Linked DNA regions of Tamandua tetradactyla. The protein of the gene in region 2 purifies or fractionates together with the protein of the main gene of each other region. This does not show direct contact. Links are inferred from orthologs where the notes say so. Each region holds a gene or a part of one and is shown on either strand. Other genes may lie near its edges.

What was found. The genes of interacting proteins can lie anywhere in the genome.
Region 1: the proteins of RETREG1 (region 2) and GABARAPL1 purify together in Homo sapiens (affinity purification with western blotting; 3 studies listed by BioGRID and IntAct, with this or other methods). This does not show direct contact. The link is inferred for Tamandua tetradactyla from reciprocal best matches to the Homo sapiens genes RETREG1 and GABARAPL1.

Annotation. Positions count from the first base shown.
Region 1 is NC_135333.1:72,653,050-72,660,103, reverse strand, and holds the start of GABARAPL1 (gamma-aminobutyric acid receptor-associated protein-like 1), read right to left. Parts: upstream 3,087-7,054; 5' UTR 2,821-3,086; coding exon 2,731-2,820; intron 1-2,730. UniProt on the Homo sapiens protein: Ubiquitin-like modifier that increases cell-surface expression of kappa-type opioid receptor through facilitating anterograde intracellular trafficking of the receptor. Involved in formation of autophagosomal vacuoles.
Region 2 is NC_135335.1:65,782,263-65,789,880, reverse strand, and holds the start of RETREG1 (reticulophagy regulator 1), read left to right. Parts: upstream 1-4,527; 5' UTR 4,528-4,572; coding exon 4,573-4,886; intron 4,887-7,618. UniProt on the Homo sapiens protein: Endoplasmic reticulum (ER)-anchored autophagy regulator which mediates ER delivery into lysosomes through sequestration into autophagosomes.

The DNA.
Region 1 (7,054 bases), on a different chromosome or scaffold from region 2:
GTACTAGGAATATCCAAAGGACATAATTATACTTTATATTTAAATATTTTGGAGAATGTTGTGAGTCCAAAATTAAAAGGAAAAAGTAGGAACAGCTTCATGGAGAGATCAGTGAAAGGCCAACAAATGAGATGGACATAAGACAGCAGAGTTAATAAAATCAAAGGGGGACAGCGAGACTGGTATTGTGTCTCCCCCAAACTCTTGAGCTCCTATCAATAAGAGGTGACCACAAAGGAAGGAAGGCAAAAAAATAGAGCAGCCTGCAAAGGCAGGGCAGGAAATCATTAAGGCCTTGATTTAGAGTAAAAGAGTTTAGGTTTGCAGGAATCCCAACTTATTTCTCACTTACAGTGGACCCTCAGGCTTAGAAGCTTTGCTTCTTTAGCCTCATCTATTAAAGATAGCTAATATTCCATTGGGTTGTTAACAAATTAAAAAAAGACACATTCTGCAGGCTCTTAGTTTCCTGTTGTCACAGGTTTGCAATACACTGTAGCTATAAAGGCAATTTCAAGATCCCATGAGCTCCTTCCTTCCAAGGTATAAGCACACCTATTCTTCTCAATGGTAGCTATAAAAAGATAGTGACCGGGTCTAAATCCAGGTTATGCGAGCAGCCAGGGAATGAGATTACTCGAGTAACACCTATGGTCCAGCTGGGAAGGGCTTTAGAAATCATTTACTGGAACCCTACTTTCCCATAAATAGGGTCACTTGAGCACAGTGAGATTTAGGGTGTTGACTGAGAATACAGGGAATTCCTGTAAAGCCAGAACTACAACCCAAATCACAGTATTAAGAAAGCATATAGCTCTTCTCCCTGCGTCACAACTGCAGGAAAGAGGGCCATCCACTGAACCGGTAACAAGCGGTAGAGGTCTGGCACCGGTTAAAACATAACTAGAAGAAGCCAGAGAGCTGAGCCAGGTCCATGGTGACTTATTTATTATCACAAAGTAAAACATTTACAGAATAAGAACAGGTGATCATATGAAACATGAGGGGTAGATGATTGAAATGGGGAGGGCTTAATTTTGAAAAATTATAGGGGGATTTTAACTAGCTTTAGGAAAAGGTACATTTTAGAGTTTGTAACTTAGGCAAAACTATTGGCATAGAGCCTCGTATTTAGTGACCCCTGAAAAATTGGCATTCTGTTTACCGGCTTACTTTACCAGCACCATACTACCTTGTGAGCTCTGGAAGGTACAATGTGAGACACACAGTGTGCACTTAATTCTAGTTAACAGAACTGTATTAGAAATTGAGAAACAATTGGAATGGAATCCTGACCAGTAACAGACCAGCAATTTGCAAGCTTCCTAAGTTACTTCATTTCTCTGATTGATCTGTAGAATGGTGGTTATACCACTGTGAGGACTAACTGAATATAGAGAGCACTTAGAAGACAGCCGGGTAAGAGATAAGCCATCAATAAAGGTGAACTGTCATTTTTTAATACTTCTATCAAAGACGGAGATTAGAATTAGGAGAAGCTTTTAAAACAGTCCCCCCAAGGTCCAGACAGCAGGAAAGTGATTTGTGAAGGACTCTTTCCTGAGTTATTACTCAGTAGCACCCAATTTCTGGGAATGGAAAGGCCTTAAGGGCGCCTCTTCCTGATAGGAAAAGGACTACCAGGGGTTTCTACTGTTGGGCTAGCTAAGGCCCAACTCACCTCTGGTAACTGTAAAACAATGAAATTGAGGTTAGGACTGTAGACTAGGTTTAAGGAGAACATGCAGGTCAAGAAAGGACATCAGATAATTGCAATTCCTTTACTTATACATTACATGTAAAACGTCTCCCACTGTCCCTGCCTGAAGGTGGCAGGTAAAGAGCACAACCTTAAGGTCGCTGCTCCTCCATCTCCAAAATCTACCACTCTTCTTCCTCCTTCCATTCCGGCTGCGCAGCCTGTATTCGAGAAAAAAAAAACAGGCAAGTGGGCGGGGGAGGGGGGAAACGGGAAAAACACCCGGATGCTGAGGGATGCCTTAGTATTTCTCTTCCTCCTCACCGATCGCATTACTTTTAACTCCACATGCCAGGTTCCGCAACAGAGAAAAAGAGGCTTCGGTCCCGCTTTGTTGTGTCCAGGTACAGTCTGATCAGAATTAAGTAGCGGAGGGAAGGCTGGCCTTTCCCCACACAAGCCCCTGGAGCCAAGAATAATGAAGCAAGAGGGCTGCTGCGCAGAGAACGTGACCTTGTTTTCCCCGCCACGTCCGCCTGGTGGTGCGCTCCCCTTACCGCCCCCTTTCCTAATGATAAAACACAAGAAAGAATCCACTGGCTTCCCATTCTTTCCTTCCCAAGCCGGATAAAACGAAGGTTAAAGCCAACTTCGCTGCTCCCGTAACAATATCCCTGCGCTTCTAAAGGCTGGAAATCAAGGGCCCCAACCTAATCACTCTCGCATACAGGACCATATTTTGTGCACATGTCGGCCTTCGTATCTGAATAATGCTGAGTCACTCGAGACGTAGGCTCGGCTCCAAAGATGCGATCAGCTGTAAAGATGGAAACGGGCCCTGGGGATATAGGTTTTAAAAGGTCGGCAGTCTGAGTGTCCACTGGCTCCGAGACCAGCGAACGGCGTCGAGGGTTAGTGATTTACAGGGACCTCGCGTCTCCCTCCTCGGCCTGGGGCAGCGACGCTTCACCACAGCCACGCTCGCCCCGGGAGCTTCCCAGTCCCCTCCCCCCCGCTCCCATGACACTCACTGGGACCCTGTCCGGATATTTCTTCCGGATCTTTTCGCCTTCCTTTTTCCGATACTCGAAGGGATGGTCCTCCTTATACTGGAACTTCATGATGGACCGCAGGGTTTCTGAGATCCCCGCTCGGGCCCTGCCTCCCTGGCTGATGGTCGCGTCTCTCGAGAATCGTTTCCCTGTGCCAAATTTCACTATAAATCAGGATCGCTTCGGAGACGCCAGCTCCCGCCGCAACACTTGGCAGAGCGATCGGAAGGGATCTATGCTCCCTTCGCCTGGAGCTAGGGGACCGCCAGAACAGAAATCCCGGCGGCTTTCCCGAAGGGCACGGGACGCAAAACAACTCTGCGGCGCGTCGGTATTGCGACGTCACGAAGTCCCGCCTCTCACCCCGCCCCAGCGTCCCGGACCTCCAGGAATAGGGGTGGACATAAGAATTGTCTGTTTTAGTGTATTTTTTTCCATCTAAATTTTTCCTATCTGGATTACATAGCGTAGCTAAGACAGTTTTTCTTATTGTTTTATTGTGACTCTCATACTGACCGTCGTTTTAAGACGAAACGAAAAGTGTGTTCTAAAGATGACTTCTTCCCTTCCCCCCGCTGCCTCTTGGTAGGGCCCCAAAACGAATAGAAAGGGCTAAAATCCAGCCTTTTCCAGCGAGCTGGAGTCAGGAAAAAGAGGGAGGGAGGGCCTGGCATCCCATTGGCCAGTGCAGATGTGTCCCGGGTTTGCCTTTTGCCCTTTGCCCATTTAATTGGACCTGCCTGCGTGCTAGGTTGGCTTCCTCCCACCAGGGCCTCTCCTCCCTCAGGTTCGCTTCAGTTTTGATTGGATGAATGCCACAACTTGCTCCTAGAGTGGCGACAGAAACAGAGCGTGACTCAGGAATTTGAGATGTGTAAGATGAAGGGCATGAAGTACAACCTAAATCCAGGGAAGAGGTGATGCCGGCAATAACTACTAAGGGCTGCACGCATGCCCCAATACAAAAGTGATGCACTTTCTCTTACAACCCAGAATTGGGCCCGGCTTCAAGAAAAGAAAATTTCAGCCAATTTAAATTATTCGTTTAGTGGCTCTCGAACATTTCTTTTTTCCTTCTGCGAAAATTCATTTAAAGGATAGTACGGGTTATTTGTGTTTCAGGGGAATAGGATGAGACAGGAGGAAGGATGGTGGAAGACTGGGCTGTGAGGCAGATGCGAGTGGCGTCTCCAGAGGGAGAACCAAAGGCCTAAGACTTTTCCACCTGCTAGTGAAGGCGGCTATTCCTGGGATCCGTCGCACCGGTGGGGGGGTGGAGGAAGGCGGTGGTACTTGCAAAAGATAAGGAGTGAGGAAAGTATGCTTTTCTCTGAAAGAGTCTAATGAGTTATATTTTTAAAGTTATTTACAACGGCAGTGTAAGGAAGAAGTTAAGGTGAGAGCATGACTGATTACTGAATCATTATATAGATATTCCTTTTTACTTGCTAGTGTATTAGAATAGACAAAGGGAAATACCTGAAATCTCTGAACTGTAATCCAATTGCCTTAATTTCTGATAACGATTTATTTTATGACTAAAAACCTTGTGACTGACCTTCCCTTATACACCCTTATCCTGTGTTTCAACTTTAGAGCCTTATGATCACTAAAGATAGCCCCTAATGTTTATCAGTGGAACTAACCCGCCCAATTCCAAGGCTGTCTTGATAAATAGAGCTGAATCTAAGCAGCCTATACCTCAGAATACTAAAAATCACACCCATCAACGTATTAAGGCAGCCATTTTCTTACATAAATTCTGTGACTAAGCATGTAAGCAATCTGTGCATGCTCTATAACTAGATCATCTCCAGTCACGTGCTCATTATCTTAAAACCAGCTCATCATTTGACACTATAAAACGATCAGAATTACTGCAGCTCAGGGAGACCAAGTTTTTAGGCCCCCAGCCCATCTGATCTCCTGCTTCCTGCCTAGCAATAAACCCTCTCTTTGAAACTCAGGACTTGGTCATTTGAGTGCTTGGGGCAGAGAACTCACTGCTTTTGATGGCTTTATCATCTATATTCTGTTATCAGGGTTCCAATGTCTCTGATTTTAAAAAACAAACAAAACTAAATTTTATCATAGAAACAAGGAAAATGAATTGGAGCCCTGTAATTAAAAATTTAGGATTTAAGGAATGATTTTGACTACTGAATGGTTACATAGATATTCCCTTTTGGGGGGGGAGGGGGTGCTTCAGAACAATTGGAAAAGGTCTTTGCTTTTTTTCCTAGAGGCAGCCCTTTGGCAATTTTCTGGGGCCTTAGGGAAATTCCAAGGGCGGTTTCTTTCAGATGGCCAGGTTTGCTTATAGTAATTACAAAACTAAGATTTTGAATTTTGCAGTTCAGAGAATTTTTTCTCCTTATTTACTGTTTTTTTCTTTCTACTTCAGAAGAGTATTGATTTATATAAAATATGTTTAAAAACTACTTATTTCTTAAGCATTTCCAGTAGAGCTTTCTTAAAAAAAAAGTTTTGTTACTTTTTTTTTACATTTCAAGTTATAAAATAATGCAATGAACAGGCAGACAGACACAAATAGAAAATTAGTTACACAAGAAACAGAAACACAGAAATACATTTGAGAAGGCCAAATAAAGACAAGATAGAGCAAAGAAAGCAGGGTTAAAGCTTGCTATACCTTCAGAATTCTAAGGAAAATGAATTCCAGCCTAGAATTTCATACCAAGATATATTATCATTTAAGTGTGAGAGTAGCATAATGCATTTTTAGCCTTGCAAGCTCTCCTAAAATTTACTTCTTGTGTGCATATTTTCAGTAAGCATGTCCAAAATGAGGGAAAAAAACAAGGAGAAGACACAAGGTATATGAAACAGGATTTAACAGAAGATAGGTCAAGGTAATCAACAAGATAAAAATGGTTACCACTTATTAAATACTACATGCTTTACATACGTATGTGTTAGCGCCCATAATCCTCAATAATATGAGATAGATGTACTCATTTTACAGATGAGAAAATTGAGGCACAGACTAAATCAAGATTGGAAAGATAATATGGGGCAGAGCCATTCTTTTAAGCCATAAAGCCTTATTTCAAACTCTTGTTAGTGCCCTCTTTCCTGCTTCCCATAATACTAATATAATCAAAATTATGATGTAACTATATTTAGAAGCTGGAAAAGGGGAACAAGAAATGCTCAGAAGTTTGATGGTAACAAAGGTGAGGTGGTGGTGATAAAAAAAAATTAAAAGGCTGAATTCTCAACTTTTAACAATGGAATGTCAATAGTTTATGCCCCAAATAACTGAAAATAAAAATCTAGAATTGAAACATATGCATAGAATCTGTAGAAGTGTCCATTAAATAAATCAGCTAAAAAGTAGGGGGCAGAAAATATGTGTGTGTGGTGAGAAAGTGCTATTTTTCTTCACAAGCCATATAGAGCTACTTAACTTTATAAAATCACACATTTGATTAAAAAGAATAAAAATTAAATTGACTGAGAAAAACCCTAGAATGAGCTGAGAATTAACATCAAGGGATTGAGAGAACCTTCTCGGCCAAAAGGGGGAAGAATGAAATGAGACTAAGTATCAATGGCTGAGAGATTCCAAGCAGAGTCCAGAGGTTATCCTGGAGGTTATTCTTACGCATTAAGTAGATACCACCTTGTTGTTCAAGATGTAGTGGAGAGGCTGGAGGGAACTGCCTGAAAATGTAGAGCTGGTTCCAGTAGCCATGTTTCTTGATGATGATTGAACAATGATATAGCTTTCACAATGTGACTGTGATTGTGAAAACCTTGTGTCTGATGTTCCTTTTATCTAGCATATCAGCAGAAGAGTAGAACATATGGAATAAAAATAAATAATAGAAGGAACAAATGTTAAAATAAATTTAGTTTGAAATGCTAGTGGTAAATGAAAGTGAGGGGTAAGGGGTATGGTATGTATAATCTTTTTTTTCTGTTACCATTTTATTTCTTTTTCTGTCTTTTTATTTCTTTTTCTAAATTGATGCAAATGTTCTAAGAAATGATGAATATGCAACTATGTGATGATATTAAGAATTATTGATTATATTTGTAGAATGGAATGATATCTTAATGTTTTGTTTGTTGTTAATTTTTTAATTAATAAAAAAATGAAAAAAATTAAATTGAAAAATAAAAGGGTTTTTCAGTTTGGTGTTTGAGGTGAGGAAATTGACTTTAGAACGTAGCCCAGTCACTCAGCTCTGGGCAGGTTATATTACTTCCTTGAAGCTCGGGGAACAGAGTTTGCAGAATTAAATTAGGTAATATACCAGATGCATAGTAGCCATTC
Region 2 (7,618 bases):
GTGACAGATACTCAAAACTCAGGTTGATACATTTACCCAAAAGTCCTACCCGGTACTCTGCTCTTTGTGTCAACCTGATCTCACCAGTGCTCTTGAATTGATCTTGGTCTTGCCCTCTGCCAAGTCCCACACAACCCATCCCTACTGCCTGAATCTGTCTCTCGTCCAGACCCAGTTGCTCTCTGAGTTGCCAGATCCTCATGTCCAACTACCTGACATTTCTAAAGATATTCCAAATAAACTAATCTGCCTCTCTACCAAACCATCTACTCCTCCTTGCCCTTATCTTATCTTAGTGAATGGCCAGGAAAAAAGTCTCATGTGTCTTTTCTCTGCCAGGCTCTATTTAATCCACTGTCCAGAGGTATCTCAAAACAGAAACCTGCTCAAAGCCAACTCATGGCTCCTCACTGTCTCAGGACCAAGCGCAAACTTCTCAGCATCATTTGCGAGGAGGACATTTCTGAGTGGTCTCCTGCTCATCCCATCCCAGGCCTCCAGCTCCTTGGAGGCTTGGGGTTTCCTCCAAGGGCCTGGATGACTTCTCTCCTGCCTCCAGGTTATACATACCATATGCTTCCCCCTTCTCTTCACCTGGCTATGTTCTTCAGACTCTTTGTTCCTTGTTTGTACCCTAGTATCTCTAAGGAAATGAACAGTCTTGTTGCTCTTACTGTAAACCCACAATCTGCCCTCAATGGATGTTTCATGCTCACTGGATGAAGAAATAATGAAGAAATGAAACAAAAGTGCAATGAGGCAGAACTAGGACCATTATAAGGAAGAGTCTGCAGATGAGGACCAGAACAGTGACTTGCCTGTGGATTCAGGTACAATTGATAACCGGGCAGGAAGGAACTGGGCTGCGAGCATCTTGCATCTTCGAACACATGAGTATGTGTGTGGACATAATCATGTTTTAGTGTGACCTCAGTTCTTTTTAGTTGACCACTTGAAGCCATCGAAAAGCCTTTTTTTTTTTTGCGGGGGGAGCAGTATTACTATTAGGGAGAGATACCCAAACTGGATATCCCAACTGGTGTAGTTGTTGGTGCTATGGGGTTCATTTCTGGGAAGCATGCCCCTCCTTGAATGCTTGTCCAGCACCGACTATTCCAGTTTGTATATTCCAGTTCTTATAAGCATGGCAGACATTCAACCGAAAACAGAAGCAGTGAGCTGAGTACTGAGCTAAGACTTGGAACCTTGAATGATGTAGGGCACAAGCTTCCTCTTCATTTCCTTTGTTGTTACTATTGCTGTATGATTTTCTTATTTATCTGGGCTAGCAGTGAACAATTTAGGTTTTCTTGGCTCAGCAACAAGCAAATTAGGAGAAATGAGGAATATGGAGTAGAGGATAGGCTAAGAATAGGAGGAGAGAATTGCTTTAATAAAATTATCAGCACAAAATTTTATCTGCAGGGCTGAGAAACAAAACGTCATGTATACACAGCTCTTTCCACTCAAGGAGTTATGGACCTACTGTAGGATTCTAACATGAAACATGTTAAGTCAAAAGCATTAATACTGGTCATTATCCCCTCACTCTAAGACACACCTTGATGTTGTCTGTGCAACTTCCTTGATTGGGAATTCATTATTCATGATTTTTCTGTCCTATTACAAATTTTCTATCTGCTTTGGAAGATGAAGGCAAGTACTCTCTTTATAGGCAGTACTTGTGTATATTTTGGCTTTCTTTACTGGAGCCAGGTTACTTTCCAAACTGTCTGAGATTCAGAGGCTATATTTTGTTCTCTTTTTGTTTCCTTAGACACATTTTCAGTTTCCTTGTTATCTTTGGATATATATCGTCAAATCATCTAGTTCATTAGTGTTCACTCTATTTCCAACATAGAATGATGCAAAAAAACAGAGGAGACTTTTAAAAACTGTGTGGTCAGCCAGGGGATTTTAAGCATTGCATGCTCTTGAAGCTAAGGGACAAGCTCTACTGCAACTACTGATAGTGTTGTTTTGATGTCATCTTAGGCATGGAATAAATTTCTCAAGTATTACAAAGATAATTAGGCAAAGAAAAAACACCCAGTTGCACCCATTTATGTGCCTGTGCCAGGGTATTTAATCTTGTCACACAATTCGTCTGTCAGCAATTATTAAAGGTCAGAGGTGAAAATGACTGATTACAGCAATTAGTCCAGTCTTTTATGCAAAACAGTCCTTGCAGCATTTTCTGCATAGTAATTTTAAGAGAGAGAGAGAGAGAGAAAGAAAAGACTTCACAGTGCATAGTTGTGAGCAGGGAGATTTATCATTAAGCAGAGATAATAAGTATTGCAAACCACACATAGCAACTGGGGCTTAGCTTTTACGTGTCTTGGTTGTCAACAGCCTTTACTTCTTTAATGGATCTGAAGAACGATAATTAGAATGCACGGGTGAGAAGGAGGAGCATAGGAATAGCAAACATGTTTCTGGAATCACATCAACCCTGGTGTGGACAATGGGGACACCTGGCTCCTTGTTGCCTGCACCCATAACTCTCTGCACCGGCTGTGACACAAAGTGCCTAGTGACATATCCAAGAGCATCACAAGTCCGAGGCTGTATCCAGTGCTAAACAAAGGGCAAATTACACAATGAAGCATCGTTTATCTTGCAAAAGCTCTTGCGTCAGGGTCAAATGGGAGCACCAACCCCTGGCAAAAGCACCCAAGCTTCTTTCCATTGGCTTGATGAAAGGGATCCTTCCCAAAGGCGAGGCTGGAATGCCAGAGACCCCACACTCCCTCCTCACTAGTGCAGCATTCAGGGCCCTCAGCAGCTGCAAATATACATAATGAACTGTCCTTTCTTAGGCTGGCCCCTCCACCTGCAGCGCCATGCCTTCCTTATGCTGCTCTCCCAACAGAAATCATTGCCTCCACCCCCTCTTCATTTCCCTTAAAATTCAGGGCAGATGTTATTAATTCTCAAAAGTCTACAATGGATTCCTCCACTCCTTCCCTAATTTGGGCTGCACAAATTTAAGCAAGGACTCTCCTAGCACCTAGAGATGATTTTTTTTGCACATTTATCACTGCTGTATTTGGACTGTGAGTTTCCTGAGAGTGGAAGCCATCACTACAGAGCTTAGCAAAGCATTCCGTATGCAGGTGGCACACAATAAACCTCTGAATGAGTTCTGACAGTATGCTCCCTTGAGGTATAACATACAAGGAGCAAAGGGCACACACCTCAAACACATAGATCAACACATTTTTACACATGTATACACAACCCAGACCAGCACATACAACATTTTCCCAAAGAGCTCCCTGGAGACAAAGGGATTTGGTGGCTCTAGGAATGAGTCCCATGCATGCCAGGAAAGCAGGTTCCCAGAGTGGACTGGAGAGAATATAAGATATCATGATTCATCCTCGGGAAGAACTCTCAGGATTGGGGCGGGGTGTGTGGGGTGGGGTGGGGGTGGGGGAAGTGGGGCAGTAGTATTTCATTCTAGAGAAAAGCAAGAACTGGCATATTAGAGAATAGATCAATGCTGAAAGTTCAAATAGTGAAAACTGAGCATAATTAATAATTGGCCTTCCTTTTCCCCTGGGCTCATTCAGAAGCCCCAAATCCAAAGAGGCCGGGTACTGGTGAGGTCTCAGGAACCCTTTCACCACTGCCTCCTTATCCCAGCTCTGAAGCCTGCTTGTGACACCGAGACCCGACTGACACTCAAGTAACCGCAGTCGAGCCTCGCCAAGCCTGCGGGACGTGTAAAGCGGGACCCCTTGCTTCTCAGCCCCCAGTCCCTTGCACCTCGTACAAACCAACGGGCTTTTTTTGAACCAGCTCGCTATACCCACAAGGAAACAGGCGAGAGAGGAAACGCCTTCCCCCATCGCTGAGGGTTTGCGTTTCCTCCCTTGTAAAATGAGACGGTCAGACCCTCCCTTCACCAACCGCAAATGTTTTGTTTTGTTTTGGTTTGGTTTCCTGCTTTTTCAACCCAACACCTCTAACCACGTTATTCCCAGGGTGCCATAGACCCCTGCCTATGCCTATGCCTGTGCAGACTGTGTACCGCCAGGGCCCGGGGGTTCGGCGGGGGCTGAAATCCACCGCAGGGGGCCCGCGTAACGCCCTGCAAGGTGGCAGGGTGAGCGAGCGGTGGCCCCGACTGGGAAAAAAACAAAAAAAAAGGAGATGTCCAATTGATTTTGCCGGTAGCCCTGGCTCCATTTGAGAGAAGCAACCGCGCAGCGGCATCGCCACCAGTTCACTCCCCCCGCCCCACACCCCTCAACCCCGCAGCTGGGAGGAAAGGGGGGTCATTTCCTTGCGTCTCTGGCGAGGTGGCCGAGCGCCCCGGAACCCCGCCGGCCGCGGCCCCCAGCGCGCAGGGGATGCCAGCCAGCCCGCGGCCCCGCCCCTGCGCGAACTTGGCCGCACCCATCTCCCCCGGGCGGCGCCCCAGCCGCGGCCGGCGCTGACGTCACAAGGCACCCAGCGGCTCGCGGCCCGCGGTGCGCGCCCAGCGCCGGGACCCGCCGCCGCCCGCTCGGCGCCGACACCCAGGCGTGCCCCGCGCGTCCGCGTCCCCGCCCGGCCGCGAAGATGGCGAGCGTGGCGCCCCGGGAGCACGCCGAGGAAGGATGCCCGGCTCCCGCTGCCGAAGAGCAGGCGCAGCGGCCCCCGCCGCCCCCGGCTGCCTTCCAGGAGGAGCGGGAGGCGGCGGCCCCGCAGCAGGAGGAGGCGGCGGCGGGCGCGGGCCGGCAGGTGGAGGAGGCCGCGGGCCGGGTGGCCGCCGCCGCGACCTGGCTGCTCGGGGAGCCCGTGTTGTGGCTGGGCGGCCGCGCCGACGAGCTCCTGAGCTGGAAGAGGCCGCTGCGCAGCCTGCTCGCCTTCGTGGGTGCCAACCTGCTGTTTTGGTGAGAGCCTGGGCTGGGTGGGGGCTCCCGGGGTGTGGAGATGGGGGGCATTTGGGGCGCCCAGGGGTGGCAGAGGGCAGACCGGCCGGCCGGCGTGGGGTGTGCACGCTGCAGAGAGAGCGGTGTCAGCCCTGGCCCACCTTCTCGGCCACCTGTCTCGAGCAGAAAGACCCACACCTCAACTTTCCTCTCAACGCGTTTCCCCGTCTCCGGTCGCACCCCTGTCCACCCGCGCGTGCGTCCAGCCTCGGCGGCCAGGTGGTCCGCTGACTCCTGCGCACCTGTAGCCCCATAGGTGTGGCCACCGTGCTCGGAAACTTCAGTCTTTGCTTTCTAAAACTCTCAAGTCTTGACCTGGTCGGCTCAAGCATGCCAGAGCTAGTGGGCTTGAACTTGGCATTTGTCCCTGCACTCCAGCAGACATAGCTGGACCAACTTAGGTACACGTTCAAGACTCTGCCACCTTCATAAACCACCTGGGATGGGCGCTAAATGGTTTGTTTTCCCTTTCCCTGGAGGGTTTACTGTCTTAACTCCCTGGCAGGAAAACCAGGAGGCAAACAAACAGGTGGATTATGTACCTCACCCCATCCGCCCCGCCCCCCTCGGACTGCGCAGTGTAGAAAATAGCATGAAGGGCAGAGAGAAAACATAGGAATTATTCTCATAAAAGCCCGTGATCAACAGGTTTGGCTCTCCAAAAAGTGCCCTTCACCCAGACGGGCATGGGAAGCATCTGGCTCCTTCGCTGAAGGGCATATGCGCTGTCATCTGTTCTCAGTCTGAACTGAGGGCAGAGAAAAAGCCTTCTTTGTTTGCTCAAGGGTCCTGTAACGAACCTGACCCAGGCAGTGCAGAAGAGGCTGAACCCCGGTATACCTTGTCAGAGGATGTGGATTTCACCTTCCAGTTGGAAAATAAATCAACGCCTGGAACAGAACACACCTGCCATTTTTATTAGGTCAACTTGAAAAACAGGAAGATTTTTCTGGAGAGTCTGTGCTAGTCCTGGTTTTCTCTTTAAAATGAGCTGCATCTTGTCAGGGTCCCTGAATGTAAATGAACTTTTCTTTGTGTTTAGCCATCTGTGTTTTTAGAGTTTACACCCGATTTCTTCATATACCCAGTTATGAAGTTACATGAGTACTCAAAGGAGAGCAATACATGATATTAGGCTGGATTGGGCATTATTCTTAGGGATAGAAAGAACCTTATCATATTATCACAATCATTTTACTAATAAGGGCCGTGGTTTTAAATTTATTTTTCTTGATTTTAAATTTTATTTTTTAAAATAGCTAATACAGACTCAGTTCAAAAGTTTAAAGATACAAAAGGATACATATTTTGAAAATCTCTTTCTCACGCCTGTTCTTGGCTACGCAGTGTTCCAGTGTTACCCAGTCTCTTCTGTATCTTTCCAGGTAGTATTAACTATCCACGTAATATTAACGCATAGTTCAGCAATTACACAGTATTTGCCATAAATTCTGGAATACTACATGGGCTGCCCTCTTCATGGTTTTCTTGGCAATTGCTTCTTTGTTCTTTTTTCAACAGCATAGAATTTAGTTGTAAGGATGTCTCAAATTGTTAAACTGTCCCCAATGATGGGTTGTTTTCAAACTTTTGATATTTCAGTGTTATGGCTAATAACCTTATACACACTTCATTTTTGCATATATGAAAGTATTTCTGTAGAATAAAATCTTAGAAGTGAAATTAGAGGGTATATGTACTTATAATTTTGAAGGATATTAATTTATACTCCCACCTCCAATGGTTGTGACTGCTTATTTTCCTACATCTTTGCTGACAGCATTTGTCAGACTTTGATCTTGCAAATCTGATAGGTGAAACAGGGCATCCCAATGTGGTTTAAATGTGCATTTCTCTGTGAGTTTGAGCATCTTTTCTTATATTCAAAAGCCATTTTAATTATCTTTTCTCCACATTGTTTGTAAATATGTTTTTTAATTGAGCCATTGGTCTTTTTCTTACCAATTGTAAGATTGATTTGTAGGAGCTTTTTCATATTAAAGATTTAGCCTAATTTCTGTGATATGAGCTGCAAGTGTTCTTTCTATGGCCTATTAGTAATATCTACTGAAAATAGTGTTTTTTCATAAGACAATTGAAAGGCATATGTGTTATTTTTCAGGAGTGATGTTTGCCATGTACTGTATTTATAACTCCTATGGAGAATAATTCTGATGGAGAGGCAAACAATGGCCAAGTATTCAGCCTCCTTCTAGCTTTCTGCTTATCTGTTATTTCTTCTCCTGCAGTATCTACATTCCACGCATTTATTTTCCTTAACAGAATGATAACATCCTGCTCTTTGAATTCTGAAATACTTGTTACTGCTTTTGTACTTTGTGCTATAATCCATTGGAATTTCTGACCCATTTATTAACTTTGATTCAATTTTTGGAGTGTTTTTCATTCTCTTTTTGTTGCTTCCAGGGTTAGAACACTTTTCAAGGACGTTCAGTTTTCTTTAAATAGTATGTTTCTTAATCTTTGATCTTATATTATGTGACCCTCTAACATTATGTGTCCCAGGAATTCTGAAGCACTATATTTTCCATGAGAAAACAAAAGATTAATATTTTAAATATGCGGGACCCAAATCTTGTCTTCAGCACTAGTGATGCTGTTTTGACTTTATTTGGTATTATTCCATTTTTATGGAAATTAGCTTTGTAACATATTTTTTTTTGGATGATTCA